4 linked regions of the Diceros bicornis minor genome follow. The protein of the gene in region 4 purifies or fractionates together with the protein of the main gene of each other region. This does not show direct contact. Links are inferred from orthologs where the notes say so. Each region holds a gene or a part of one and is shown on either strand. Other genes may lie near its edges.

Region 1 (7,781 bases), on a different chromosome or scaffold from region 4:
ACATGAGGCTTGACAAAGCACCGTCAGCTTCCCCCCCACTCAGCCTAGGATCAGGCAGGGCACAAGAAAGCCCCTCCCATTCCCTTGGGAATGAACACCAGCCTGGATCTCACCAGCAAGAATCATTTTCTTAAGGGCTTCTCCCCAGCAATCCCCATGTCGCTCCCCCCAGTCAGCTACATCTCTTGGTTCTTCCTCTTCATCACCTCCATAAAAGCTGGAAGTGGAGACAAAGACAAATACATGGAGGCAAAGGGGACACCCTTCCATCCATATAACACCCCCAAACTTTTCAGGCAGATAATGTGCTCACCTGGCAAGTGGCAAACTGACTGAGGTATAGAGAAAGATTTGGGAAAGGGACAGGAATGGGGTGTGGCAGGTGGAAAAACTGGGTCACGCTACAGCTTGGGGCAGAGTTCACCCTGGGAGCCTGCACAGCTCCCAGTCAACACAGGGGCAGCCCCAGACCAAGGCGCCAATGGGAAGCCAAGATGTGGACCCAACATTGCCTGGACAGCAGTACTACTTCTCATGCTCCCCAGAGAAAAGATAGGATCACACCACCACTACCACCCCACCCCCACCTCAGGCCACAGCACAGAAATTGGCCACCTTGCCCCACAAAAAGATGAGAATCAAGCCTAAATTTCTTATCGAAAGAGTTGAAGACTGAGTAACAAGACTGACCCCTTTCCTAAGTAGCCTTAGATTGAAGTAAAGTCTTCTGACTCAGAAAACGCCAAATGTGGAAACATCTCTCCTAGATCAACTCAACTTGCCATTGGAGCTAAGGAGAGAGGAGCCAGAAGTGAAAGATGTTGGATGGGAAACAAAAGCAGGACCAGCAGGCTCCAGAATGAAAAAAAATATATAAGCAGAGAGGATGAAGAAATGGCATGTAGAAAAAATGAAGCTAGGAAAAAGTGTCAAGAAAACAAGTAGGTGACTTAGCCAGGGGCTCTGAGGAAGGACAGACAGACCAGAGCGAGACATCCACTTAGAAGCATGACATCAATCATCATTTGAGAACAGACAAGGGCTATTCCTATCAGGCAGGGTGTTATAACCATCTGGGTTTGGCCAGTCTAAGGAGCCACCCCAAAACACAGACAGCAAAACCCCCAACACACCTACACAACCACATCACACCACCAGGCCAAACCACAGGCTACCTGCACAGAGGCAGAAGCCTCTAGGAAAGAAAGCCAGGATTACATCCACTTGTTAGGGGAGGAGAGGTGCCAAGGGTGTCACCTGCCTGCCTTTGCCCCTCCTAGTCTATCCTTCAGGCTACTACATCCTACCCCTAGCCCCCAACATTTTCCCACTCAAAACATTCCAGCAATCTGCCTGGCTAAAAGCGCTCTAGATGCCAGCTGAGGAGCGCAATTCAAACTACACACAGTTGAAAAGGCACAGAAAACCAGTAACCGATCAGAAGCTAAAAATAATCAGATAGAGAGTAACCAGCACTCCCTCTTTCCTTTCCACAGCAGCAACCACAGGATGCTACTAGCACCGATGCCTGGCTGGCCTCCTCAAACCCCACCACCAACAACCATCACACAGCCTCCAGGGGTCCCAGATACCTGCATTTCTCCAAGGACCCACACAAGGTAATGCGTGCCAGCCCAGAGAGCTCCCTCAACTGGGAACTGCATAGGATTCCTTAAGACACACAGTGCAGCAAGCTTGCATCCCGATCTGCGGAGCTCAGGAGGCACATGGCTTCCACCCCCCACCCCCTCAAGAGCTCCGCAAAGGCAACCACTCCCTTCGGATGCCCTCCACCTTAGAATGCACAGAGAGAGAGAAACCCTACCTCACCAGAGTACTAGGGAGGGCCCAAATACCTCCTTCCTGTCCTGGGCCCCTGGGGAAGATGTTACCTGGGTGGGGTGGGGGCAGGCTGTTGTTCAAAAGTGCATCCATATCCTCCTCCTCACTGCCCGCCGAGCAGGGGGACGGGGAGCCCAGGCCCGACGCCATCCCCTTCCGCTCCCGGCCAGGGAATTGGCCCAGCTGCTCCTGCCTGCGGCCTGGGGCCCTCTACACTGGCCCGAGTCACTGCGCGGGGGAGGGGGGAAGAAAGAGAGAACAGTCAGTGACGCGCACTGTCCCCCTCCCCCATACCCCCCGCTCTTTCCGCCCACCACCACCCCGCCCCCCCCCCTCCGAGTAGGGCACCCGGGCCACTCAGGCTGAACTTAGTTCCACACTCCTCGGGGGCAGCCCGGAAGCCGGCTCCCCAGCTGGAGCCCCCAGATGAGCAAGAGCGACACCCCCGAGGGCAGGCTGGTGCAGGCAGGGGGCAGGAGAGAAGCCAGGCTGGACTGAGCAGGGTGTGACGGGGGGAGGGGGTCCGAGTGGCCGCAGCGCAGGGGTAGCCGGGGGAGGCGGCAGGCGGCGAGGCGCTCGGGGACACAAGGTCACTTGGGGGTGGGGGGGCGCCTCCGTTCGCCTGGGGAGGGGCCAGTCCCCAGACAGCGCAGCTCTCCAAAGGCTGTCCTCTGGGACAACTCAGGTTCTCCTGAGAAGCCGCGGGGACGAGGGGGCGTGGAGGCTCGGGCGCTCCGGGGGGCTGGAGGCAGGGACGCGGGGGGCGAGAGAGCTCCCACCAGGCAGGGGGCCGGGCCACGTGTCCCGGGGGGCAAGTGAGCAAAGGGCGAGGGGGCGGGCGCCGGGCACTGTGGGAGCCCGAGCCGAGGTGGGAGTCGCGGGGAGCCAGACTCCGGGTTAGGGCGGGGGCGGGGGGAGGGGGCGCCCTGCAGGGAAGGGAAGGATCGGCTCCTGCGGGCAGGGGGCGGTCCGTGGGTCGAGGGACGCCTGAGGAAGGGGTAGGTGGAGGGATGACCCTCGGGACTGGTCGGGCTGAGAGGGGCGTCTCTTTGGGAACCCCGCGCTCTCCTCACCCCGGAGCCGCCGCAGGTCGCGCTGGGTCCGGCCCGGTGTCACTCCCGCTCCGGCTCCTTCTCGCCGCGGCCGAAGGGGGGAAAATGGCTCCGGCTCCGGCGTCGCTTCTTAAAGGGCCCGAAACACCGGCCGGGAAATCCCACCGCACAGGCCCCGCCCCCCCACGGACAGCCCATAATAACCTCAACCAACTTCAACCCCCCCCTCCACTACCGCCACCCTCCTCCCTAGGTCTCCCGGGCAACCCCCGCCCCCTCGTCGCTCAGGCAACCATTGGCCACGCCCCCTTCGAGCGCGCGCGCGCGCGTCACCCGGGCAACCACCCACCTCCTGGCCATCCCATAATACACACGGACACCCCCTACACACTCCATACACAAGTATGCCAAGGCTGTTGACATCTCATAATATTGCAGACCTTTTGCAACTAACTCTTCCCCCCCCAGACATCCCATAATAGCCATCCTTTGCCAACTTCTTCACTCTTGGCCCCAATGCTAACATCCCATAATAATCCGTCACCTCTCCCTCCCCATGGCCATCCCATAATAAGCACCCCTCCCAGCACTTCGGCCTCACATCCCATAATACTCATCCCCATCCCCCATAGACATCCCATAATAACCACTCTTCATCCACCCCCAGTTTGATATCCCATAATAGTCAGAAACTCACCCCCCCACACACACACACACAACGACGGACACTTCGGCCTCCTCCCACACACATCCCGTAATAATCAGTCTCCCACTTTCTATACTGACATCCCATAGTAACCAACCCCCTGGAGCTGCCCTCAGCCCCTGCAGGCTAGGGTCTAGATGCTCACACCACCACCCTCAGCCTTCACACACTCATTCTAGCTCCACAGCCCATGATAACCACTCCTCCCCTATCAAAGAGATATCCCATAATGATCGGCAGCCCTACTGTGACCCTAGATGGACATCTAATCAACTTTCCTCTAACGCTGGAAAGATATCCAGTAATTTTACTCCCCCACCCACACCCTGACATCCCATAATAATTGCAGGGAGCCCATGATCAACCAGACATACCATAATACTCTCAGCACAACCCAGTGTTACATCCCATAATGCTTCATCTCCACTCCACCACCCTTATACCTTTCCAGCCAGGCATCCCATAATATTCATATTCATATCTCCCCCATCTCCAGATGCTGTCAGTCTATTCTAACTGACAGTGTGAAGCAGGCTACCCACACTGCCCTGTCCTTGCCCCAACTTGTACACACCTTCATCCCTTAGTGGGCCAAAGCAGTATCTTGGCATAAAGCCTCTTGATGTCTAGGATGGACCCTTGCTTCCCTCATCCCATCATTTCCAGAGACTTAGGAACTGAGAGTCAACCTTGGGCCCCACCCAATCCTGCCAAAGTCCAGATATTCTCCAGATGCTTACCTCCAGCTCTTAAATTTTAAGTAAGACCAACCAAATACCATGCTGGCCAGATGAGCCACTTACATCAAGTTTACTTCATCCCAGAACATCCCATAATAATTACAAACTCCCATCTAAAGACTATTTCTCAACATTCCAGCAGTCCTCTTTCCACCCACCCCCTCCTCCCCAGGTCAGGTGGTCCTTTCATCAGTACCCCTAGGCCACTCCCATGGATGGACATCCCATCATGATAGGAACTGAGGATCTTGCTATATACACACTAAGAGCCAAGACCTGCCCTCCCTCTTCTTTGCTACTCATGGTCATTCAACAGATGTTGACAGAGTACCTAGCAAGGCACAGAGCTGGGCACCATAGGGAATGCAAGCACCATAGGTACCTCCCTTCAAGAAGCATAAACAACCAAACCAACCATGAGATAGAATGTCTGGTGTCAAGGAAGAATAACTGAGTGCTATTTCCCAATTTTCTGTTATAGAGAATAAAACAAATCCCAACTGGTCTCAGGAGAGATCAGATCCCAGTAGAGGTTCTTGGTGGTTCTTCCAGAGGCTGGAAGGTATTCCAAAAGGATTTACAAGATAGATGGATGGTCAAGATAATCCCCTATCTGTTCCCTACATACTAAGGGATTTTGATCGGAAAGCAATGTTCATCCAGCGTTTCTAATACTTAAATCCTATAGTATCATCATGTGCTTCCTTCTTGAGACTCACCAACATGCCAGAATTGTTATCCTCATTCTTAAACACCAAATTCTGCTTACCCTCAATGTTCTATATTTTTCTCCCACTTTGTTATTCCTGAAGTCTCATGATAATTCCAACTGCCCCCATCCTCATCTTGCTGAGGCACCACTCTACAACGCCCAAAAAACCCTTCATTGTATAATGTTCACCATCTTCCCCTCCCCATGTACAAGTCAACATTCCAGGATGTCTTCTTCATTCAATTATGCCACAAGGTAGCCTCTCAACATATACCATCCCCTTCCCTAACTGCGCCTACCCTGCAGCCGCCCTGGGGACCCAGCCTCAGAAAGTCAGAGAGCCCAATCTTCAAACCTTTTGGCCCTCAGAGAACCTGAGTCCATAAGCCTGACATTTTTCCCTCTTCCTGACCCCCAAAGAAACAGGACCTGAGTGAAAACCAATGTTCCAACACCGCCGCCTTTCTGCATCCTCCCCCACACACAGCCCCCAAGCCAGAGATAATGTCTTCCTCTGCTCTCATGTGCCTTTTCCACACAAGTCCAAGACCTATGGCGTTGGGACAGGTTGAGGAGAAACCAGAACTTCCTCCTAGGAGGGGCCCTTCCCGACCAGAAGTGAGTAGGACGAACCTCACACCATCTCTACATTGCCCTCCTAATCTCACTTCCCTAGAGAAAGAGCCTGGCCAGATGATTCTCCCCTCCTCTGGGAACCAAAGGACTGGAGAACTGGCAAGGAGAAATGAGTTCAGGAAAGACAAGAGTTTGCTTCAGGAAATCACCATCCCTTTGCTTCCAAGCAGAGCACCAGTGATGCTGATAAGTCTTTCCACCAGCTCCTACCTGACTTAATTCCCTAGACCACCCTTTTGCCACATCCATTGTGGCATGCAGGCCACTTCCCCCAGTAAATTCTCTTGACATAAAATCGGTCCCCATTCACTTGTGCAAACCCTCCCCCATGCTTATTCTGAGTACTAAGAATGAACTTTGTGCTCCTCACTTGGGGCAGAGGGGGCAGCTCTTTTAAGATACCACGATGTGGGTATATCTCATTTCAAGAAGCTTCTCTTTGGTATATAGAGCTGCCAGATACCTATTACACCCTTCTCTCTCCCCATTTCTTTAGGGGATCCAGCCTGCCTCTGGGCCTCATATTCCCTTCTATAATATCTCCATCTGCCCCATAGCCTTCTCTTCTCATATATATACACCACATTACTACACTGATTCATGATATAAACCAGGAAGAGAGTTTTAAAACTGGGTAGTCACAGCCTATTGCCTGTGATTACAAACACTGGTAACTTCTGTCCACCCCAGCCCTCTGCCCTATCCCTGCAAGTTCTACCCACTCACTCCCTTGCTCCTCTTATCCCCCTCCTCTCCCTGATACCATCACAGGGAGAAGGTTAAAGTCCTTTCCTCTCTTCTTGAGTTCCAGAGAGGGCTAGCATCTGTGTGTTTGTGTGTTGCTTTTGTGGTCTTTATGCTTCTAGGCTCCCCCTCCCTACCCTGGCCCCATACTACTCTCCCAGATCAATTATAAATAAACCACTAGCATGATTGGTCCACAGAGACTAAGGGTGGGATAATCTCCTGATTAATGCACCCAGGGGGACAACCTCTCTAGCCAGTTACCTTAGAGTTCTGTTTCCATCCCATGGTACAGAAGAACCTAGAATAACACTCAGAGTGGTTTGTCCAGGGAGTTTTCAGCACGTGCTCTATAGTTCCTCTGTCTCCATCTCCAGTCTGTGTGAGCCCCAGAAACTCTGCTCATAGGATGTCTAAGGACCAGCATTCTCTTGCTCTGTCAGAAAAGGGGGTTTGGGAAGACAACCTAGAGCAGAAAAGCCACCGTGACAGTGCACTCTGATGGCTAAACAGGATGCAGGTCATACAGGGCTTGTGGAGTGACCAGACAGGCCTTTGTCCTTCAGGAGCCAACCAAATCTCAGTTCCTTCGGTGTGACTATAAGGTGGCAAAACTCCCCAGGCCCAAGCCCGCCACCAGAGCCATGGTACCAAGGCTCAAATCCAAGAAGGTGAAGAGGGAAGAGAGTATTTGGGTGCTGTGATCACCCAGAAGCCCTGCTCCCTTTGGTGTGCACACAGCCAAAACCCAGGTGTTCTCACTGCCAGCCCAACACTGCAGGCCCTGGACTCAGCAACCCTGTGCTCACAAGCTGTGGAAGGACCCAGGGTTCAGATTTGGCTAGCTCTGGCCTGCCCTAGGGCCCCTTCAAACAGCTGTCGCTGAAGAACGTCTCCAGCCAGTTACTCTTGCCAGGCCTCAGGTCTGGCTCTAGGGCTCACCCCACCCTCCCCGGCTCCTTCCCTCCCTCTTCCTTCCTTTCCTTCCCATTCCCTCCCCCACCAGAGCTTCACCTACCCGGGACAGCCCCACCCAGCTGTGCAGGGCACATCCCATAATAATTCTCCTCCTTGTTAGCCCCCACCCCCCCCCAAAAAAGAGAGGCGGCCATCCCATAATAGCCACCCACAAGAGACATTCCGCGGTGACCGCCCCCTCCCTGCAGAGCTGCCGGGAGCAGCCATCCCATAATAGCTGGCCGCCTGTTTTACTGGTTAAGGCTGTGGAGGGAGCTGGAGAGGAAATGGAGGGGAGGGGGGAGGGGATGAGGACCAAGGGCCCCCACTTTTTAGAAGGGAGGGAGAAGGGGAAGGAGAGTGGCCCAAGGGGATAGGCAACCAAGGGGACT
Region 2 (7,924 bases), on a different chromosome or scaffold from region 4:
AGCAGTCAAATTCATAAAGACAGAAAGTAGAAGGGTGGTGGCCTGGGGCTGGGGGAGGGGAAATTGGGAGTTGTTTAATGGTTATGGAGTTTCAGTCTTACAGGATGATAAGAGTTTTGGAGATGGATAGTGGTGATGGTTGTACAATATTGTGAATGTACTTGACACTATTGAACTGTACACTTAAAATGGTTAAAATGGTAAATTTTATGTTATGTACATATTACCACAATGAAAAAGTCACCAAAAAAAAATGTACCTAGCCTTCCTCATCAACAAAACGTCTTGACCTCTTATGACAACTACTCATCCACATCCCGATCACTTCTTTCTTTATTGTTCTGTTTCTAACACCATTAAACGTCCTAAATGCCAAATTCTACTTTCCTTCAAACTGTATTATGTCAGTGTCAAATGAGACCTCATGTAAAGGTCTTTGAGTATTTCTTCCCTGCCCAGTTTCATTACAAGTGTGTGTAGCCTACCCACAGTGAAAGAGATATATGGCTGGTTCCCTTATTTTATTTTCAGTTCTCTTAGGAAAGTTTGCATAAACATGCACATGTAATCAGTTATGCATGATGAAACATAATGAGATTTGGGGGCAGAAAAAGTCAATGGTTTTGCTGTTGTAAGAACGTGGGGTGTTAATAGGTCACAACCTATCTGTTCAGTGATTAACATACTGTAGGATTATAAAAAAGATAATAAGAAAAACAGTCCCCCTCTTCCCCAACGTGGGAAATCTTTCAAAAGAGGGACCCTTGAATTTGCCTTTCCCTAAATGAATTCTGCTCTATGGCCTACTTCCTTTTATTCTTCAAACCATTATGAACCACATCTGTGGAATTCTGTATCGGCTATTCTGCAGCCAGCTGTTGCCAAGTCTTTTACTTAAAGTGAAACGAAGAACAGATTTGAGGGCCCTCTACCTGCTGTGAAGGCCTGATGTCGTTACCTACAACTGCAAATGGTGAGAAATGTGACTGCCATCCTCAAACTGTTAGTATATCCTCTAAAATACTTTTGTCTCAGTTTCAAATCTGCACTAACTCTGTGATCCAACATTATTAATGCTGTCTTTGTTGTTAACCAAAGCATATGCATGCCAACAATGAGTAAAAGAAAATCTACTTTGCGATAAGAATAGTATTGTGGGTCATCATGAAGTTTTCCTATGAGCAGAAAACAAGGACAGATTGTTAAAAATGCTGATTCCCTGGGAAAGTTGTTACGTTTTCTGCTGTGGGGACAGATGAGTCAGGCATTCTCTGTGTCACACATATGGGTATATTTTGCACAGAATCTTGAAGAGATGCTTTGCTGATTATTAAACTATCTAAAAATTCAGGTGTGGCTATCTGCTGAAGGCGTCTTCAGACTTGGCTACTACGGAGAGAGAAGAAATATTCACAAAAGTCTTTCCAACAACATGTAGGTCTCAACCATGAGTAAATAAGCCTAAAGCACAGCCAGTTTGAGCCTACGTTCTCCTGCAGATAAAGGACTGCACGAGAGAAAGCTGTCCAGTAAGAAGCTATCTTAGTGTAAACACGGGACTATCTGGGCCCAGATCACACTAGAAGGAAGTGTGCCTGTGTGTGTGTGTGTGTGTGTGTATAAGAAATGTATGTTATCTATTTCATTCCTGGAGTATGCATCACCTTCAATAGAATTAAAATTTAAGAAAGAGAACTGAGAGAGTTTCCCACAAAAAGATTAAAAATATTCTGTTAGTTGACTTCAGCTTCAAGAGGTCTGAAGCCATTTTGTAGAAGACTATTTAAAATATAATCCCAACTTCGTCTCCTGTCGGCCAGCGGCAGCCATATGTTAAATTCCGTACTGATACACTCATGCTGACCTGCGAGGTCCCTTCCTCCAGCATCTGAATACAGTGCATTCTCTGAGTTTCCACGTTCTGTGAAAACGAAAGATTTTAGGAAAGAAAAGCAAGTTAGGATTGGGGTAATACTTTCGAAACCATTGGTGATGAAATAAATAGCCAGTTTCTATTTACACATGAAATGGTTACTGCTCCAAACAATATGAAGGCAGTGGGCAGCTATACTGTCCTAAGAGAGTCTTTACCTAGGAATACTTATTGACAATTTAATTCATATTCATCCCTAATCCACTCTGAAATGTCAATTTAAGCCTGTTCAGAGAGCTAAAGATTGCCCCTAGATTTAGGTGCATAATGTCATTCTCCTTTCTCAGATATAATTCAGAAAATCCTAATAAATTCACAAAGAGATAGAATTAATATGAAATATTTACTAAGTAGTGCACTTACATTTTTAAGCATGCATATTTAATAAATATTTTTTAGTTTGTCTTGGATTTCATACCATAGTTCAGAGAGTTTCACTTCCAGCTTTCAGACAGATGAGGCCTTTTTGGGGGGTTCTTTTGGTTTGTTTTTTAGTCTTAGCTATTCTATAATGCGACCCCTCAGAACCTTTCTTATCTAAATGTCTACCCATCAGGCGTCGCCTAAGTTGTCCAGACAAGCCACTGAACAGTTTCACTAAAATGCCATTTTCCTTAGCTTTTGAAGGAGCAGAGTCCCAAATGCTGAACAAATAATTCATTAGACAATAACTAGGGAAAATATATTTTCTCGTTGAATCTACTTCATTAGCCAGAATTATTGTCTGTTATAAATAGCCACATATATATTCAACCATTAATCTGTTAATATTGCTGACTATTTTCTACCCAAATATTGTAATTTACCTAAACATTTCAAAATAGGAGAACCTCTCCTGGGGGATTTTAGGGATTAGTATTTTCTGCAGAAAGAGTCCTTAATCTTTAATGTCTACTTTCAATGTTTGAAGATATCAAACAACTGAAATTCTGGCAATGCTAAGGGAATAGTATGGGACCTCATTAAATATTTTGTTTTTATACCTTTTTTTTTTCCTGGGGCAAGCTAATAATAGTGAGTCGACAAACCAACAACAACCAGTGACTTTGGGTACAAATAATGTAAACACATTTCTCCTGTCATGAATGGTGCTCTCACCAGTAATAAAACCATGCTGACTTTCAAGCTGCCATTTTCCAGAATGTAACCCTTGCCCATCTCTCAAATTACGTTCTCAGATTCTGCATGCATTGTAGGAGAAACATGGAAGAAAGGAAATCTTTTAAAGCACATCATCTCAGAACAGCCATAGCCCTGAGTAAAATCACATGATAAGCAGGCCAGAGAAAGGAGGCAAGTCATGAAAATCACAACTTTATGCGGAGTGTGGAAGTTTTGCTCACTGTTCGTTGATCTAAGTTAATTTTCAACACATGGAAGTTATTAGTGAGATACTGTAGTCTTAAATGGACCCAAGAATGCAGATGAAGGTAGTAGATTTTTATCATCCACTCAAATCATTCCAAAATACTACAAAAAACTATTAAAATTTCAAGTATGTAAATTTTAATCTCTTTGTGGGTGCATACTTATATATGTGATAATAAATCTATGTCTACATATGCCATTTATATTCATGTAATTAGTTGAATTGGGGGATACTTTTATTTGTGCAATTTTACTGTGTATTGTAATGAATTGTGGGCACATCAATCCTTTTCACTGAAGTAGACTTAAATTTGATTGTTCAAGAATACATCCCACTTAGGCATTCATGCTGAAACCAGCAACAATTGTCAATGACCTTTACCATGCCTGCTATCCAAATTAGTGCAGATCATTAATCACAGGGAGCTTACATGTTATGTGTTTTATGATTCGCAGATTCTTCTTGCAAAGGTGCTCACCCCTCTTTCTCCCTGTCTCTCTACTCCCCCCTTCCTCCATCGAAACACACACACACACCGCACACATGCACACAGACATACATCACACACGCACATCATACACACGCAGAATGGCCCGTGTGTCTGGGACTCCAGCTTTGCAGGCACAAGCTCCTCCCTTGAGCTCTTCTGTAGGAGTTTCTGTTGTAAATGCCATAAGTTGGAGAGGCCCGGAGCTGCATCAGCAGTGAACGTTAGCGAGCGTTAGGCACGGAGAAAAATGCCACAGCGGAAGGTAACGCCTGGACTGCAGCGCTGATTGTCGAGCGGGGCTACGTCGGAGTCTTGGACGGAATCCATCTCCACTGCGGAGTTATCCGGAGGAGAGGAGAACCATGTGGCCAGAAGTGCGGTGGGAGAAGACTGCGTTACCCTCCGCAGGCCACGGCTCCCTCGGTCTACGTCATCACCGATTCAGGGGCGCGCTCCCCCTCCCTCTAACCCTCCCGGTTCCTTCTCCTCTCCCGCTTCTCCTCCAACCCGTACCCCCGCCCCTTCCCTTTCTGCAGCAACCCCCCACCTCCACCCCCTGCCGGGTACCATTGGTGCTACTTGGAGTCAAATTGGGATTTCTATTCCCAGACTCAACTTATTGCAACTAACTACGGCCCACGGAGAGGAGCTGGGGTGAAGAAATGAAGTTTGAAAAACAGAAAAATTAGAGTTGAACTTTTCAAGGATCAAAATAAACATAAAAACAACAGTCATTTTTAAATTGCTCTACAGCAGAATCTTCGTTCTAAAGTCTCTCCAGGGGGACCCCTTTGATCTTGATTCAGGACTTAATTTATTGATACTCTGCGTCTGAATACCCCCAAACGCATTTACCAGGAAGTTTAGTGAAACGCACACCCTAAGCCATTTGCAACGCACACCCAACTGGGACCCCCGGAAAGATACCCACGTAGAAATCTGGATTCGAGGCTTAGTGCTCAGGTGCCTAAGTCGGCTGAAAATGCATCTCCAACACGTCTGCACGTATGGATGCGTGCGTGTGTGTGTATCCGTGTGTGTGTGCGTAAACAGCTTCCCGTAACTGGATCTGCGGCAGCGTTAGTCCTTGAGAAAAGGGGTGACAACTAGCCACTGGGATCGTGATTCAGTGCTATGAGGGGAAGAATTATCTGCGTCTGAGTCATCGCGAGCCTCCAGACTTTCCCCGCAGTGTGGCAGAACTTTGTGCTGATGAGACAATAGTGGAGCGTGTGCGTTTCCTACAGGGCAGACCATTCCGGGGCTGGGGGAAGCCTGGGGCCTGCGCCCGGCCGCAGGGGCCCAGCCCCCTCTCCGCGCGGTGCAGCCCCTCGAGCCGGGCCGGCGCCGGGGTGCCCGCGGGGCTGGCGCGTCCTGGGCGCGCGCGGGCGGCGCGGGGAGGGGGCCGGGCGCGTGGCGGGCCCCGCGCGCCCTCGCGCGTCCCCCGCGCCCGGGCGCAGCTGGCGCGGTCGGTCTAGTGCAGCGCTCGGCTCCGCGCCTCGGGCGCTCGGCTTCACCTTCAGAGGCGCGGGGCGTGCGCGTCCTCCTCCTTGGGCCCGCCGCCTCCCCGCCAAGGTAGGGGTCGGGGTCGGGGGCGCTGCGGGGCCCGCGGGGGGCGGGGGCGCGGAGACCCGGGCCTGGAAGTGTCAGAAACCCGGGCGTGCGCCGCGGGGGTGGGGGGCGCTGAGGAGGGGCTCCAGGGCGCGGGGAGGGCGGCTTGGCTTTCCCTGTTGGTAGTTGCTCCGCTCCGCAATTCCAGGAGAGGGAACATGCAACTTCGGGCGGCGAGGCTAGCGCCCGGGAGGTGGTTTTTACCGCAGTGGAGGGGCGGGGTGGGGGCCGGGGTGGGAGCGCGGAAGAGGCTCTGGCTTTGTACACTTCGTCAAAGGCGACGCGGGAGGAGGGGAGCTCGGATGTGCTCTCCATCCATTAGGAGACAAAGAGCAAATTGCCTTACTTTAAAGTAAAACGCTCCGGCTAATGAAGGTGGGTGATGGGGCTGCGGGCCCTGAGGAGCCGCTTCAATTATTAAGGGTTTGGCTGATGGGATCGATGCCTGTGGGCTCTGAGCGCTGCTGCCTCGGGGACGTGTTTGCGTGGGGGGGTTGTTTTTCCTCCCCCCTCCCCTGGCTGCATGCTTGTCAGCTGGGAGCGTATAAGTGACCCTAACATTAAAGAAGTGAGAGCGCCTGAAGGGAAGTTAGGGCAGGGGTGGGGGCGGGGGCCGAGGGTTCTCGCAATGACTCCGAGAGGGGTGGGGAGAGGGGATCTGGGTGGCAGGGACTCCTTGGAGATGCGCCCAGCCTCGCTGGGGTGGGGGTGGGGGAGGTATTGATCCCGGTATATACCCGGGTATATACAAGAAAAGAAGAATGCTGTGGGGTGTGTGTGTTTGGGGGGTGGGGGTGGAAAAGCGCGTTGTCTGCCATTTCCAGGGAGAACTAACATACTGAGTAGTTATGATCAGTATTTAGATTAAACCGCCTCGTCAAGTTTTAAAGAAACTTTGTATGAATAAGTTTGTTAAAAGCCAGCCGAGTTGGGTATTTAAAACAGCGGTTTATAGACGAAGATTGGTGTGCGGTGACAATCAGCCATGGTGGGCTGGGAAGCCAATGGACCCCTGCTATTAGGGACCAGAGAGACCTAGCCTTTTGCCCGAAAAATGTGGGTCTGTAAATTAGTCCCATTTATTATCAGCGTTAATAAGCTCCCCGCAGCAGACCGGGATCAGACCGGGAGCTTCTGGCTTGTGTATCTGTATATTTCTCATTCCGCTGGGCTTATTGATAAAGAATTACTTGGTCTCTGGGTGTGCAAAGATCAACGTGCTCAGCTCTCTTTTTAAATATATTCATTCTGTGCCTTATTTAATCCAGATGCACAAAAAGCCATTTGCAGCTGCATTGTTGGTTTACATTTTTTTTGAAAAGGCGACTGGTGTAACCTGTGGAATTTGAAATGCAAATAAAAGCCTGTAGGAGTTGAGGCAGAACAAATCAGCATTTATAAAGTGAAAAAGATTTAATGTCTTTGAAATCATTGCAGAGGAAAAAAACTGGAGAGGGGGAGTGATTTTTCAGGGAGTGAATTGTGACGTCAGGTCTTTTTGGAAAAGATGTTATTTTTAAGGTCTGAAACCCGCGTATGTAAAGTGCTTACAGGAAAAACAGATTACAAGATTAACATCTGTTAACATGATCGTTTATCTCCAGCCAAAATTAGGTCAGTTCTTTCTTAAGGAAACACGATTGCTGGCGCATGCTTAAATAATAAAGTTAAAATAATGAGTTCATAAATTAGGACAGGCGTTTGTTAATAATCTGACCTGTGAAAAACATTTTTTAATTTCGAGATCAATGAAAGGTCAAAGTCCCTTTTGGGTATTGAGAACAACTCTTCACCCTGCGTCCAACCCTCCCGGATGGCCCCCTCCCTCCTTACTCCGAGCTCCTCTCCGCCCCCACCCCGGATTGCTAATTTCCCTTTTCAGCCATTGTGGAAGTACAAAATATGTCTAAGTGGATATTGTCTGACGCCCCCCTCGTTAAAGAAGGCAAACTCTCTCCGCGCAGATGGCTAACTTTCAGAGCTCTGCTGTTGTTTTACCATTAAATGAAACGGTAGGGAGGGGGGTGAAAAAAAGAAGGAAACAGCCTCACAGAGTTTCCCTGCCCCCTGGGCGTGAGTGACGGTTCTGCCGGCCAATCCGCAGCGGCTTTCTCCATCCCGGAGGTAATTTGGGGGGTGTGTTTGTGTGTGCGCGCGCGCGCGTGCATGCGCCCATGTGTCTGCACACTAAGTCCGACCAGCGCCGCGCATCCGCAGGCTTCTGATTTGCACAGCTGTGTGCTGTAGACGTGGACACGCTTTTATCCGAGTCTGCAGCTAGATGGGCACGCAGCACTCCCGATAGAGACCTTGCCTCCTCCGAGTGTCCTCATAAGAGGCGCTTTCAGATTCAAGTGGAAACCTGCAGAAGGGGAAGAAAAGAGGAGTGATGTGATTGTGCTTCTCAACAATTGGGGAATCGAAATGCGCGGTTCCTTCCTTCTCGTTTCCACGCGGCGCGCCTGGGATCCGGGTGACGGAGCCCACTCGCCAGGCGCGAAACATACAGAGAACCAGGATT
Region 3 (7,272 bases), on a different chromosome or scaffold from region 4:
GAGAGGAACCCTGAATTTAGGGAACCTGAATCTTTTATAATGGGTAGTATGCATGCGTGCCCTTTGCTACAGACAGGGTCATTTTCTCTATCTTCCAAAGCTGTTCCCTGTACAAAGGTCTTTGAATAGATTGTTTGGAACAAAAGGCATTCAGTACCTTGGCTCTCAAGATATTCAGAAACCCATGGAGAGTTGTTTCCTAACAGAAACCTATAGTTTCTTAGTAGAAATTACCAGAAGTCACTAACTTCTAATGCATATTTTGCATGAGTTAGGATGGTACTCAGCTGCATATAACAAAATCCTGACTACAGTGGTTTAACCAATGTGTTTGTTTTGTTTTTTCCCTGCATGTAACCAGAAGTCCAGAGGTAGACAGTCCAGGTCTGGTACAGATATAAATGAGGTCATCAAGGACCCAGGTCCCTATCTTCCTGCTCCACCATCCTTAGCATTTATTTTTCATCTGATGGTCCCAACATGCATACTCCACCTCCATTTGTACAGTTCTGGTGCTCCGTGGAGAGAAGTGGTTATCAGATTTGAAGGAAAGTCAAAAAAAATTGAGCTAGGAAAGAGGAAGAATTAAGATATATACATAGAGTAGTTAGGAGACAATAGCAAGTAAATTTTCCCAGACACAGTGTGGGTGTAGAGTTTTACTAGAAAATTTGTGCAAGTAAATAGATTGGATCAAAGTAATACCATGTTTTGTGGGTCATGAGCAAAGCATTAACCAATTAACAAGCTAACAGGGGTTACTTGAGGGGTTTAATGTAACTGAGTAACTTAGTACATAAGCTATGATTCAAAAATATATTTTTAATGAAAATGGGCAATTTTAAATTTTATTACACAAATGCACAGTTCAAATAGGACTATAATCTTTCATTGTTTGGTGCTACTGTTCTGATTTATGAGTTACAGCTTGTAGTACTGTGTAAAAATAGGCACCATGCTTCCAGGATCAGAATTCAGCTTGAGACTGTTTTAGTTTGTGACAACACCCCAGCGTTAGTCACTGTACTCTTCTACATTCTGTATTATCCTATGGAATTGCTACCTAGAATTTAACACCTTAGAGCAGAAACAAGCTTATGCAAATAATTCTTTTATAGCAACTAAAAATTAAGCTATCTGCCGCAGTTGATAGCAGGATTTAATTTTTAGCATAGACTGAGGCAATCAGTTTCTAAATAGTCCTATCTCTAAATAATCCATTTATGTTTAACAGATCATTTCATTGAATAATCTCGAAGCACTAAACATCTTCAAGATTGGAAAAATAAATTCCTATAGACAGAGAAGGAACTAAAGAAAAATAGTTTAAGAATAAAGACAATCTTCAAGTACTATGAATGAACCACGAATTCTAGAATTTTGTGAATGAACCATGCTCTCAACTTTTCTTCTACTGTATATTGTCTAAAATTCTCTTTTTTCTAATGGTAAAAATGTTTGATAGAGATGAGTTGGAATATAGTAAATGAAGTTTGGAGCTTTGTCAATGGATTTCAATAACTGATTCTACGTTTAGCTCTCATGATCTAAAGCTCATTATATGTGTTTAGGGACATAATTCTCATGGCCTGCTCTTACCACTGGATTAAACTCCTTCTCCAATGCCAGTTTCTAAGGGTAAAATAATTTGCTTCTATTGGCTTAAAATTATTAAATAATAAATAATGTAACAGGTTCTTCAACCATTCAAAATATATGTCTGGGTTCTTCTTATGAATTCAAGGCTAGGTGCTATGGATACAAACAATAATTATTATTACTATTATTATACAGTAATCATAATAATCCTTTCTATTCACATAGATCTTTATTGTTGAATGTTGTATTGTATTGAATTGTATTGTATTGAATATTGAATACTATTGTATTGAATTGTATTGTATTGAATATTGAATACTATTCAGCCATAAAAAAAAGACAAAATTGTGCCATTTGTGACAACATGGATGGGTCCTGAGGGTATTATGCTAAGCAAAACAAGTCAGAGAGAGAAAGACAAATACCATAAGATTTCACTCATACGTAGAAGATAAACAAACACATAGATAAGGAGAACAGATTAGCAGTTACCAGAGGGCAAGGGGGTGGGGGGAGGGCCAAAGGAGTAAAAGGGCACATGAGTATGATGATGGATAAGAAACTAGACTATTGGTGGGGAACACAATGCAGCCTATACAGAAACTGAAATACAATAATGTACACCTGAAATTTACACAATGTTATAAGCCAATATGACCTCAATAAAAAAATTTTTAAATACTATTCCATATTAATTTTCTTATTTGAGCTACTCAATATTCATATGAGGAATTACTCTCCGAGTAATACAGCCCCATTTTAGAGATGAGGCAATTCAGACAAAAAAAGTTTAAGAGACTTGCCCCAAGTCATAAGCACTGGAGATACAATTATGTGCAAGACAGACATGGTCCCTCCTCTCCTGAAACTCTATTCTAATGAGAACATTCAGAGAAGTTGTGGGCAACTGTAACATGGTAAGTATTGAGCTAGAGGGGTAGAAGTCACAACCACCATGTGAGGAGCACAGAAAACAGTCTTGGGGGGAGGGGGTAGAGTCAGGGAAGTTTCCTGAAGTCTCATTTCAGACTTCACTATGTGGGCTCTGAGAAGAACATTAGTTTCTACTAAATTAACTTATTCTGTTCTCAGAAACTAACAAGTTGATTTTAGACTTGATAGAGCAAAACTTTGAAAGTCAGTATCATGTAATTAACTTTACCTCTAACCTAAGTGTAATGTTTCTTACACTGTGATTCCCGTACCAACTGTATCAGGTACCTGGGGTGCTTGTTAAAAATATAGACTTGAGGGAGGAAAAGCTGGGCTACCCTGGAATTACTTTTTCTAAATTTGGGGGGTGGGGGAGGAGGTCCAGGAAAATTCCCGCTTTAAGTAGGAACACCTTGGGAATTTTGACGTCAAACAGCAAAAATAAAGAGGGTATTTTTGGTAGCGTCTCTAAATGGTTCCTGTTTCAATAAGGACTTTTTTTTTTTTTTTTTTGATGGGGGTGTGGGAAAATGTGTTATATTTGGGGGAAATTGTAACTGATAGAGGTGGGCTAAAAGTGCTACACTGCAGACTGTCCGCCCCCGACCCCTCACCCGCAAGATGGCTGGTTTACAGTGGGTGCTTGATAAATGTTTGTTGACTTGTTGAACACAGGGACACAGCTATTTATAACTTCCATGAGTTTTGCAAGTCCTTTTTCTTCCCTTTCTGCTCCAATGTCCAGCCAGCATCAGCAGCACAGTGGAGTAGCTAGCGTGTGTGAATTGTCGGGAAAGAATGAATTATTCAAATCCCAGACCATCACCAGTTGAGAGAACTAAATTCCTTAATCTCCCCCATTTATAAAGAAGGAATAGAAATAATACTTACACCCCAGTGTTGTTGGAAGTCTATACTGAGTTACAGGTTATCTACTATAAATAGGTATCAATGAAACATGTTGTAAATGCAAATACTTAGAACCGTGCCTTACACACAAATTGCATTCTTTAAACGCTCATTCAAACCCAGACAGTACACTCTACTTTTTAATCTGTTAACAGGTCCTTCTACCAGGTCAGAACCTCGGAGCAATTATCAGTAAAAAAAAATCAAAGAACAAATGAATAAACGTGAAAACCAAGGAGACCCGGCACAGGGTCACTGGACTACGGACTAGCCGGCTCGTGGCAACCACAAGGGGCTCTAGAGGGGTCTTTCTCCGCCCGGCTCGCGGCACGTGGTCCGCTCGGGCGGGAGCTTCGCGACAGTGGGGGAGGGGAGCGGCGTGCGACGACGCAGAGGGGGTCTCCGCAGCCAAGGCTACGGTTGGGGAGGCGCGGACTGCGCACGCTCGGGATAGGCGCAACCACTGTGTGAAGATCCGGAGGGGGGAGCGTTCACCAGGCTCCATGCTCTCTTTATGTAAATACGGAGCGAAAGCCTGTCCTTTTTTCTCGTTTTACGACCCTACTTGGCACTGCCCTCTGCAAGCTGTTCATCATTGAAGGCCTCTTATGCCAAGACTGAGGAGGCCTATTTCTCTAGTCGTGTCCCTCCCTCCCCCGTGGGGGCCACAGTGGACGCGTCCCACCTCCCCTCGGCCTCCGGAGGTGGTTGGGCTGCCCCCTCCCCCTCCCCAGTGTCGCGAGTTGGCGCCGCTGCCAACCCTCGCTCCGCGCTCTTGGCCCCTCGGCCGGGCGGTACCGAGCCCTCCCGGCGCCCCCTCCTCGCCTCCCACCGGCTCGCCCTTCCCCGCAGGACTGCCACCCGCCCCTCCGCCCCAGCCCTGTTCTCTCCCCGCCGAGCCGCGGCGGCCGCAGCAGCAGCAGGAGGAGGAGCCGGAGCCCGGGGGCGGCGGTGGCCGGGGAGCCCATGGCGTACAGTCAGGGAGGCGGCAAGAAGAAAGTCTGCTACTACTACGATGGTGAGGGGCCGCGCCGGGCCAGGGGGCGGCAGGGCTGGGGCGCCGGGCCTGGGGCCGCCGTCGCGAGTGGGCGCCGGTGCTGAGGGGTGGGGAGGAGGAGGGACCGACGCCTGGCCGCATCTTCACCCGTTCCCGACCCGACGCCGGCAGCGGGAGACCCGCGGAGGTGCGGGCGGCAGCCAGGGGACGCCCCACTCCTCCGTCCTGCCCTTCTTCCTCCGGCGGGTCGGTCTGCCGCTCCGAAGTGGCCGCCTCTGGGACGTGGCCGGCCATCCCCGGCTTCGTGGGTGCGGCGAAGGGGACGGCCCTCGCCGGCTCCTCTCCTGCCCGCCACTCGTGGGAGCGGAGGTTTGGGGGTGCCCTGCTGCGGCCTCTTGCACCCGACCCCTCCCCCGGGTCAAAATACCTACCCCGGCCGAGCCTGCACACAAAGCCCTGCGGCCTCGAGAGCTCCGCCCCTGCAGCCCCTTCCCTCCCCATCCCTGTGTGCTCCCCTCCCCTCGGTCTGCGGCTGGACCGAGCATCTTCTTTCTCCGCCTCCAGCCTCGCCCCGGACCACTGGACCCGGGTCGGTGCTGGAGAGCAGTTCCCGAGGGTGCAGGCCCCCCTCCGGCCTGGGGCACACTCACACCCCTGTTGTGCGTGGGCTCCATCCCTCTCCTTTGTTCGCCGGGTTCTTTGAGCGCCACTTTTCTCAGGATTCAAATGAAAAGGCTGCGCTTCCTCAATTAAAATCAGGGTTTTCGAGTTTGAGGTAGTCAGCCTTCGCGGGAAACATGACGGTGGTAGGGAAACGTGGAGCTGTTAATGCTGGTGTTGTGGATCCGAGACTCGATGGGTTCCGGCTTGCCTCTGTGAGAGGTGGTTACCACCCACTTCTTTGTTGCTCTTTGTTCGATCAGGAAATACACCCTGCTCTGGAGGTTTAGGAGAGCAGGGGCATCTTGCTTGTGAAAGCTGTTTCTAGGTGGTGGGAGTCCTGGTGTAGGAAAACTTTGAGGAGTAGTGCAGAAGTACTAAATAATCAGGTAAGCTTGAGCTCACGGTACAGTAAATTGTAAAAGTCAGGTAATTTAATTTTAGGGGTTCTTCTAATTTGAAGTTTGGGCAGTAACATTAAATCTCTGAAACCTGTTTCCTGCGCTAGTCTGAATTATACTAAGCGGAGTAGTAACCTGTTTTACACATTTCATAAATAAATAGGCAATAGTAAATAGTTGGTAAATAGTTCCTAGTAGGTTACTCTCCAAAAAAAGAATTCTAAAATTTAACGAAGAAGCTAGGCTCAAATGACCTGAAAGTCCTATCTGATTTGTCTGAAGCAATATAAATTTTGGAAGCTGTTTGCTACATTCGGTGTACTATAAATCACAAAATCTTAGAAAGGTAAAAAGACCTTAGAGGATTGGGTGAGAATAAATCTGACTTCAATTTGAAAATGGCCATCCCGTATCTCTTCAGTTAGCGAGGATGAATCTTCTAATGCCTGTTTATATAAAATAACCACCTGTGTCATTTGTGGAAAAATCTAAAATCTTAGAGAACGAGTAAGTTGTCTGATATTTGATAGCTAGTACTAAATAGTAACAGCCATATTTTAAAAATATGTTTCGAGAGGACCATGTATGTGTGTAATACATATTGATTTGAAATTGTGCCATTGTGGAGGGGTGGAGATGGGAGTATGTTTTAATTTTAACATGAATTATTAAAGTTTCTTAAAGTTCATTCTTGGAGAATTCATGCATGTTTTAGGTCACTGGTAAAACTCTTGCTTTGCATTCCCTGATCAAATTGAAAAGTAAACCATGTGTGTAAGTTACTTTTTAAAACTATGTTGTTTCTAAGGTTTAGAGATTTGTTCTTGTCAGGGCTTGAGGTAAAGAAGGCTGGTTTTAAAAAGTTGGGGGGAGCACAGGACAGATAGAACTGTTTGGTGGTTACCAGGGGCTAGGGGGTTGGGTGGGCACAAGGGGTGGAGGGATGCACTTGTATGGTGACTGACAAGCAATAATGTACAACAAAAATTTCACAATAAAAAATTAAAAAAAAATAGTTTGGGGGTACTGAGGCTCTTCTTGCTGCTGTTGGTTGCTGTTGACAGTGATAGGCTCTAGTGGAGTAAACTGCTTGTACCTTCTTGTCACAGGCTTGAACTGTGGAACCAGGGGGTACACTTAAGTGGCAGTTTTATAAACAGCTGTTTGTTCGTTGGCTCATTTATGATGAGCCTTTGTTGAGGGAATGGGAGCCAACTCTGGTCCCAATGGCGGGATGCAGGCTTGATAGGTAGAGTGGGAGTATCTAAGTCTCGTGATTGTGACTTAATCAATACTTTATAGTCGACCATTCAGCTGCTTCACCTGGTGGCCAGCAACAGGTGTGGAACTGAATGTAGGGAAGTCTCTGGTTGGATTGTCTTTTGTCCAAGGCTCTTCCTTGACTCATTTTTAGAATAGAATTTGTCGTTGCTTACATTTGAAATATTCTTTGGATTTTTGTGGGGAGTCTAATAAAATATTCTGCAGAGATTATTAAATTTGATAGGTATCGTTATGCTAATTATTAGTATATGATAGTGTGCTAAGCTCTGCACAATTAATTCCAAAAGCTTTTTTTTTAATTGTGAGGAAAGAGGATGCAAGTAAAGCAGCTTCTGCACCAAAGAGTTCTATGACTCGAAGGTATACAACATGGTCTGGATTGGGAGTGGGTAGTATCGGTAGAAATAGGGCCTGAATAATCTGCCAGCCTAAATTAACTGGTTTTAACTTGTTGGTAAAGCAAGTAGATGGAAGAAAGATAAGGAGGAA
Region 4 (8,003 bases):
CCCACCCAACGACCTCATCTTAACTTGATCATCTGCAAAGACTGTCTCTCCAAATAAGGTCACATTCTGAGGTACTGGGGGTTAGCATGCCACCGTATGAATTTGGGGGGGACACAATTCAACCCTTAACACCCTCTATTACCCAAAACTCCGTGAATGACTCATCCTCTCCATGTGTTTGCTACACTTACCAAATGTGACCTGTCTCAGGAGGAGCTCCGGACTGGCAGGGACATTTTTTCTCCTGAATATCCAGGGGCACTTCCCTGAGCTAACTAGGGAACCTTACCACAACAGCGAGCTGGGTGCAGGGGGGCCCGACGCACCGAGGAATAAGACGCAGCCTTCAGTCAACATGCCTTCTTTCATCGAGTCCCAGCAAGCCTGCAGACGGGTGACCTTTTATCCACAACTTATGATCAAGGACCTGTGGGGGCGAAGTAATGAGGCAGATCTGTGAGCACCGGCCCAACCACTGCAGCCCTCCGCATCCCCCGGGGCTTTACAGCACTTCACAGTTTGCAACCCCCCACAGGTAGATGCTGTTCTCCCCTCTCCTGGCTGAGAACCGAGTCTCTTGAGAGCTATGAAGTGGGTGGCAGTCTTCAGTCTTTGGATGACAATACTGCAGGTACGTGCCCAATTTGGTTTCAAGGGCACCCGCCGGTGATTCTGGTATTCCACCATTTCTCACTGTGCGGACTGGCTGGCAGCCCAATGCTTCTCTTAGTACATCATCATAATTTCTAGGAGTTTTTACCATATATTTGTAGACTGTGATGTAATGCTGTGCTTTATCTCAGGCACGAACACTGAATATATCGACCAATAAGCTAAAGTCTTGGGTTGGGTATCGGGCACTGGGTGACACTGCGGTCGCCTCCCAGTCTCCATCAGGGTCAGAACTGCCCTCTGGCCAGGGATGGCAGTAGAGGCAGCATTCTTTCTGGTTGGCACCATGTGAAGTGAGTCAGAATGGAGGTCAGCCTCCTCCTGTGGCCAGCACGGGAAGCTCTCACAAATACTGAAGTTGAATTCGAGGCCATGGGCATGGAGCCCGTGAAGAAGCATTCATTCACCCAAAACGTCAGCAGCCCTTTGTGGATGTGGTTTTCCCCAGCGCTCAGATGTCCCACGGAGGCTGAGGCTGGCACTGCTCGACCCAGCGCCGGGGCCTGGCTTCCCCTCCCAGGAGACTCTCCAGCAGCTCCAGGGACAGTCCTGTCCTTTGCAGGCCAACCGGCATCGAGCGCCTCCTCTGTGCACAGGGCAGGCCCAGGCGCAGGGAAAGGGCGAGCTGGCCAACACAGACGCGCAGCTGATGGCATCGGCTCATCCCAGGCCAGAAGTTGGGAGGGACGGGGAAAGAGAGGCGGGCGGGCCGGCTGGAGAGTGGGTGCAGAGCTACGTCTGCAGAAAGCTGGGCTGCCTTCGTGGGCGATGCAGTCACCTATGGATCCCAGAATCGCAGCTCTCGTCAGGTGTGTGGGGAGCAGATAGAGGGTGTGACTGTAACCCAGTGTGGGAAGGCAGTGCTTGGGGACAGCAGGATGGGGGTAGGGCCAGATAAGAGCCATGAGAAAGCACTGACAAAGCCTGCGTGCTACAAGGCCTGCGCGGGGAGGCTGCAGAGAGTGGGGCTGAGGGAGATGCCGGATCTATCACCCACCTTCATCTTTCGCTCATTCTTAGTTGCACCTGTGAAATTCCCTGGAGCTCCGCTCCAGCTGCAAAATGAAATTGTGGGTGAAATGGATCCTAGAAAGAAATTTTAATTCTGGCCTGGGGTTGCCTGCTTCTAGGTAGCCCCACCCGTTGGAGTCCAGAGTCTGGTTCAGAGTCTGTTAGACACTGGGCCATCTGACAGCTCTCTCCCACTCAGCAAGGCCACGCCAGAGCTGCGGGTTCCTCCCCAGCACCCCGCCGGCCACCCGGGGGCTCCCCGCCAAGGTGGATCGAAGCCCGACTCCAGGGGCAGAGGATGGAGTGGCCGGGACTCCCTATGTCCCAGCACCCCTTCAGCTCAGTGGCAAGTCCTCCAGGCACCTGCAGCTGCGGCCGGCCTCTCCCACAACTGCTGGCCTCTCCTGGATTGCCAATGGGGTCCCCACCTTGTGCACCCCACCATCCATGTTGCTCCTTTGGCAGTGGGGAATAGAGCCCAAGCCCCCGACCCCGCAAGCCCGCTGTCCCTCGGGCCCTTCAGTCATTGCCCTGTGTCCGCTGCACCCACGTCAGGCCTCTGAGTTTGCTGCTCCCTTTTCTGTAATGTTCTTTTCCCAGATCTCTGCAGGCTGCCCCTTCCCCCATAAGGGCTCCATGCCTGTCCCCTCCACCACAACCCCGCTGGGCCCCACTGTCGGCCATCAGCCCCAGTGCTTGTGTGAGACCTCGAGGGTCTCCTCTCTGTGCAGCCCCATGCTGGATGGAGCGGCCAGCAGACTCTCAGGAGCACCCCGGCCTCAGTGGGGGTGGAAGTGGGAAGCCAGCAAGCATGCCTTGACGTCCAGAGAACCGTCAGCACCACTTTTATTCACCCAGAAGCTGGACGCCCAAGAGAGAGACGCGGCTCTCGGAGTGGCCCATGATGCACCCTCAAGAACCGCTGAGTGAGCCGAGAGCGAGTGTCTTGCAGCACCCGACGGAGCCGGAAGCATCACTCGTGTCCACTGACCACCGTTCCGTAAATCACACAGGTACCTGAACTATGTTTCGGAGTACTCAGAAAAACTAAAAGACAAAGCATCTTTCCTTGTCCACCGAGAGCAAAGTAAACTATTAACTTCTGGCTTAGAAACGTTCTCACATTCCTTAAGGAAAGATGCTGGGCTGCAGGGCAACACCTCTAGCAAGCTGGTGGGGAAGGCCTGGTCTCTTCCCCAAAGGAGAGCATATTCTGGTCTTTTCTGCTCAGGGCCGCCTTCTGCAGTTGGCAAAGTTGGGGTTTGCGTCAGCGGAGGGCAGGGCTGAGTTACTAGGAAGCACTTTGCGTCCAAACCTGGGTCTAGCTGAAGAGCACAGGGGTGGGGATCCTCCAGTCCTGTCCTTCGGGGGGAGTTCCTGGCAGGGGGGCGGCTTCACTAGGAGGTGACAGCTGACATGGGCCAGGCTGGGTGGGTGGCACTGTCCTAGGTGTCGGGGTCCACCCTGCGGGCTGCGGTGGAGACAGCCGGTTCAGGAATGAGCTTCTCATCTACCTGCCTCAGGCCCTTGTCTGCAGGCCAGTTCTCTGAAGGTGATTCAGGCTCTTCAGGGCCATGCACAAAGGTGTAGAGGGCTGAGGGAGAGTGGAGGGCATCAGGGTGGCATGACTGATCCCCAGGCCTTCTCCTGGAGGCGGGAGCCTGTGGTCTTGGTGCCTCTGGCCAGCCCTGAGGATTGAGGAGGCATGCATGGGACAGGCACGTTCAGAACAGTACATCAATTCTTCCCACACCTCCATTGAGCAGTTCCCATCTCAAATACATGGGGGTGGGGGAGTAGAGGCCCCTGACGCCAGGGAGCTGACAGTATAGCAGGAAGAAAGCCCAGATAGAAAGGTAACTGCTATACCAGGCATAAGGGTAAGGGGGAGAAGGTAGCCATGGGAAAAGCAGGGGAAGGCAGCATAAATCACATGTGCAAAGGCCCTGTGGCCACTGGGAAGAAGAGCCATGTGGCTGGAGCATGGCAGGCTGGGGGCGGGTGGCACCTGGCTGAAGAATGGAAGGGAGGTTAGAGGCAGATGGAGATGGGCCCAGGCCCAGAGCCTTCTGTGATAAGAAGCTTGGATTTCCTCTCTAGTGCAAGGAGAAACCTTAAAGGTTTTGAGCAGGGGACAATGGAATCTGATTTACAGTCTGGGGCCACTCCCAGGGACGAAGTGATGTGGGGGACCCTGGTTTGAGGGCTGTGAGGTGGAGGGGGCAGGTATCAAGGGGCACCCTGGGTCTCAGCGCTAGAGGTACCGAGAAGGCCAGGAGGAGCTGGAGGAGCTGGTCCAGGCCACGTCAGGGGGTCTGGTCCTGTACGATGTTAAATGAGTAAACCTCTGCCTGGGGGAACGAGCGGGAACGTGTGCGTGAGACACGCACCCTGCTCTGGAATTTTGCTCTTTCTTTTGCGACTGCTTTTGTGTCTGCATTTAGGAAAGTTCTCTGAGAAGTTTGCTAACTGCTCATTTACATCCTGTCTTCTCATTTTCCCTACATGTTCTAATTAATCCGATTTGGGAGGTATTTTCATAGGTGAGTACCAAGTGAGGGTTTAAAAGCATCAATTTTGCAAATAGCTACCCAGTTCCCTATCATCCTTTACTGAATCCACCTACACTTTCTCATCGGTTTATGAATTTTAAAAACATATAGATTACAGGATTGATTTCAGGATCGTCCACTATGTTCCAAGGAGCTGTACTGATAGTTTAGTGCTGTCCTGTTCTAATGACGTGCTTCTCCCTGAGAGGACGGCTATGGTGCCTGTCTTCCCCTTGGGGCCTGGCTAGCTCCCACCTTAGGGGAGCCGCCATGATCCTCGGGGCTGGGTCCCCTCTGGACTTCCGGAACTAAGCACAGGCTGCTCTCTCAGGGACTGGGGGTGGTGGCCAGAGGAGCCGGGCATGGACCCACACACCTGCCACCTCCCAGGGACCTCACCTGGGCTCAGGGGTGTCTCTGCTCTAACTACTCAGTGCTGGCTTCTGGCGCTTTGCTCACAGCCCACTGGGGAAGCTCGTCCCGGGGACTCCCGTCCAGGCCGCCTGGCCCAGATGCGCCCCCTGGAACCCAAGTGTAAGGCCAAGCTTTCCCAGAGAAACCCTCTGAGTTCCGACCTGTGGCCTCCCGCTACCCTGCGGCCGCCCGGAGCCGGAAGGCGGCGCGGGCTGAGCACCTGCAGCGCCTCCTGGCTTGGGCCCAAGGACATGTAAACCACTGGCACCCAGGAGCGTGCTCACGAGGCCTCTAGCCCGGTCTTGCGCCGCTGGCGCCCAGGAGGTGCGGGGCAGGTGCGTGTGTGGGGCAGGCTCGGCCCAGGGTGTGCGTGTGCGTGTGCGGGGCAGCTACGTGTGCAAATGCACGTGCCTGTGCAGGGCAAGTGCATGCGCGGGGCAAGTGCGTGTGCATGTGTGTGAACCGGGCAGGTACGTGTGCAGCTGTGTGTGCAGGGCAGGTGCGTGTGCTGCTGTGCGCGCGCGTGTACAGGCCAGGGGAGAGCCCCGTGGCCCCGGCGGGGCGGGCGGGCCCGGCCTGCAGCCGCCCGCCCGCGTGGTGCAGCGCGGCGCCCGCGCCTGGAACCAGGAGGCTGCTGGGCCGGAAGCCCCGCCCGCGCGCGCGCCCCTGTCCCCGCCCGCCCGGTGGAGCGGCTGCTGGCGCGGCGCGGCGCGGCTCGGCACGGCGGCGCACGGGCGCAGGCGAGCGGGCGGAGCAGCGGACGGCGCCCAGGCCGCCCCACGCGCCGGGCTCGCGGCGGAGCGCGCCGGACTGGTCGGGGCCCGCGGCCGCCCGCGCCTTTCAATGGGCAGCTCGCACTTGCTCAACAAGGGCCTGCCGCTTGGTAAGGCCGCGCGCGCGCACTTCCGGCCGCGGGCGGGGCGGGGCGGAGCCGGGGCGGGGCGGGCGCGCGGGCCCCCGGCTTTGTGTGCGAGTGCGCGTGCGCGCCGGCGTGCCCGCGCCCCCGGCCGGGGGCGGGGCCGAGCCGGGGGCGGGGCCGGGGCGGGGCCGCGGGAGTGCCGTGCGCGTGCGCGAGCTGCTGCGTGCGAGTGAGCGTGCGCCGGCGCCGCCGTCACGCCCGCCCCGCCCCCGCCGCCGCCCGCGCAGGTGACACAAAGGGGCGCCGGTCACCCGACCCTGCTGACCCCCGCCCCGGGGATCCCGCCTCCTAAGACCCCCAGTGTCCGCCCCGCTGGGACCCCGACCTCTCGGACCCATAGCCCTTCCCGGACCCCAGACTCTCAGACCCCCGGCCCCTGACCCCTGACTCGTGGACCCCCGAACCCCCGGAGCCGCGGACCCCAGTCCCTCGGACCCACAGCTCCTCCCAGCCTCTGATCCTTGACCCTCGGACCCCGGCATCCCACCCCGCCAGGACTCCGGAATCCCGGGTCTCGGCCGCCGCACTAGGTCACCTCCCTGTTCTCAGTGTCCCGTTACACGCTCCCGGGTACACTGCCGACCTGGCTCTGAGAGAAAGGACAGGATGCCGTGTCTCCTGGGCACGGTAACGTCCTGCCGGCGAGGACTGCAGGGCCAGTCACCTCCCTGCCCCACGGGAGCCCGCCGGGCCCTTCCCTCCCGGGTCCCCCCTCCCAGCGCCGGGTGATGCTGGGCCGCTCGGGCGGGGGCGGGGGGAGCAGCGGTGGGGCCGGGGGACGGAGGTTTTCCCTGAGGAGCGGGCAGGGTGGGCGCTGCTCCACCACTGGAATTTATTCAGGCTGTTTTATTGGCGCTTGTTCTTATCACAGGCTTTGTACTGGTATTTGAGGTTTTCACCCATTTTTTAAAAATGTATAAAATTACAACGTTCAGCTTGTGGGGGGCACCCTTCCCTCACTGGCTGGATGTCCTGGGCTCAGCCGTGCAGCTAGGGGTCTGCCTGGACTAGGCAGGTGGAGGTTGGGGGGCGGATCTCCCCTGTCTAGGCAGGTGGAGGTGGGGGAGGTCTGCCAGGTGGGGTGGGGTCTGCCCGGACTACGCAGGTGGTGGTGGGGGTCTGCCCCATCTAGGCAGGTGGAGCAGGGCCTGGGACAGCCACCCACACCGTTGAACTCAGCAAACCCTGTGCTGCGCTCCCTTCTCTGAGCCAGTCTGTTTCCTCAATAATTCAAGAGATCTGGACCCAATTCTGTTTGTCTCAAGGCACGGGTTTGTCCCCCTTGTGTTTTGAAAGATATCAGAACAAGGACCCTCACGGGCACTCTAAGCAGCACTGGGGACCAGCCTGTCTCCCCACTGGGGCCCTGAACCTGGACTGTCGGGGGCAGGCTGGGTTGGGGACACCCTTGGGTGGGTGTTGGTTAGATCGCCGGTTGGAAGATGCCTGCCATGGTGTAAGCTCCTTGGCAGAGCCCAACTCTCGGTGGCCATCTTGCACATTTTGCAGTTCCCGGTCAACATCCAGCTGCATGGGCCTCCTCCTGGGAGGGGCTGTTCCGGGGTCCGGCGGGGAGGGGCCATGTGGTCTGTCTGTCCTGTGGCAGCCTGGCTGGCTGAGGGCCCTCAGCTTCCTCCTCCCGCCCCTCCCCCAGCGCAGAGTTGCCTGTGGGAGGAGGAGCTGTAGCCGCACCTGAGGTTGGTGGCTAGAGCTTTCTCTGGCTGGGTCCCCAGCCTGGCCCCCTGCCCGCCTGCTGAGAAACGAGGGTGCCGCCCCGGGCATGCCCAGGAGGACAACTTTTAAGCCGGCGGTGTGTTGGAGAAGCCAGAACCTGGCCAGGGCCAGACCCTTTAATGCTGATCTTCTCTGAGACTGGTTGGGGCGGGGAGAAGTGGAGGCGGATGGCTTTTTTTCCGGGTACCCTGAACTGAGCAGTCACGGAGGTGAACCCCTTGCCTGCTCCTGCTTTTCTAGGCGGCTGCAAAGTCAGGTTTCTGTGGGGCCGAGAGTGGGGACCAGGCCGTCTGTGTGCGGAACCTTTCCTCTCCTTCTCAGGACCCACCATGCTCTTCGTCTGTAAGATGAAGAGCAGCTTCGTCTGTATAAGACGTACAGAGGAGCTCTCAGCAGAAAGCTGGCCCCAGCAGCATGGGCACTGAGGGTGCCTGCAGCTAGTGCAGAGCCGCCCGTGGGAGTCAGTGCAGCCCCTGCACTCTTGTGTGGGGCGGCATCTCCGTAGAGGAGTGACCACAGCCGGCCAGAGCACAGACCTGAGCCCGTTCCCAGGGGAATCCCAGCGGGTGATCTGGGGCTCCTCGTGTGGCTTCTCCATGCATGTCTGAGGTGGGGATGGCATCATGAAGCGGTATGGGATCACAGGAGTGAGCATGTGCTAAGTGTTGGCAGGGCCAGGGACATAGGGTGGGGGACAGGGA

The links.
Region 1: the proteins of CTBP1 (region 4) and CHD4 purify together in Homo sapiens (affinity purification with mass spectrometry; 3 studies listed by BioGRID and IntAct, with this or other methods). This does not show direct contact. The link is inferred for Diceros bicornis minor from reciprocal best matches to the Homo sapiens genes CTBP1 and CHD4.
Region 2: the proteins of CTBP1 (region 4) and ZNF516 purify together in Homo sapiens (co-immunoprecipitation; 4 studies listed by BioGRID and IntAct, counting the BioPlex papers as one, with this or other methods). This does not show direct contact. The link is inferred for Diceros bicornis minor from reciprocal best matches to the Homo sapiens genes CTBP1 and ZNF516.
Region 3: the proteins of CTBP1 (region 4) and HDAC2 purify together in Homo sapiens (affinity purification with western blotting; 7 studies listed by BioGRID and IntAct, with this or other methods). This does not show direct contact. The link is inferred for Diceros bicornis minor from reciprocal best matches to the Homo sapiens genes CTBP1 and HDAC2.

The regions. Positions count from the first base shown.
Region 1 is NC_080756.1:55,089,675-55,097,455, reverse strand, and holds the start of CHD4 (chromodomain-helicase-DNA-binding protein 4), read right to left. Parts: upstream 3,016-7,781; 5' UTR 2,916-3,015; intron 2,071-2,915; 5' UTR 1,993-2,070; coding exon 1,893-1,992; intron 1-1,892. UniProt on the Homo sapiens protein: ATP-dependent chromatin-remodeling factor that binds and distorts nucleosomal DNA. Acts as a component of the histone deacetylase NuRD complex which participates in the remodeling of chromatin.
Region 2 is NC_080755.1:64,966,676-64,974,599, reverse strand, and holds the start of ZNF516 (zinc finger protein 516), read left to right. Parts: upstream 1-4,910; 5' UTR 4,911-5,024; intron 5,025-5,239; exon of another isoform or gene 5,240-5,367; intron 5,368-5,718; exon of another isoform or gene 5,719-5,778; intron 5,779-7,924. UniProt on the Homo sapiens protein: Transcriptional regulator that binds to the promoter and activates the transcription of genes promoting brown adipose tissue (BAT) differentiation.
Region 3 is NC_080762.1:21,797,688-21,804,959, forward strand, and holds the start of HDAC2 (histone deacetylase 2), read left to right. Parts: upstream 1-4,266; 5' UTR 4,267-4,407; coding exon 4,408-4,459; intron 4,460-5,366; exon of another isoform or gene 5,367-5,487; intron 5,488-7,272. UniProt on the Homo sapiens protein: Histone deacetylase that catalyzes the deacetylation of lysine residues on the N-terminal part of the core histones (H2A, H2B, H3 and H4).
Region 4 is NC_080747.1:644,131-652,133, reverse strand, and holds the start of CTBP1 (C-terminal-binding protein 1), read left to right. Parts: upstream 1-4,993; 5' UTR 4,994-5,492; coding exon 5,493-5,532; intron 5,533-8,003. UniProt on the Homo sapiens protein: Corepressor targeting diverse transcription regulators such as GLIS2 or BCL6. Has dehydrogenase activity. Involved in controlling the equilibrium between tubular and stacked structures in the Golgi complex.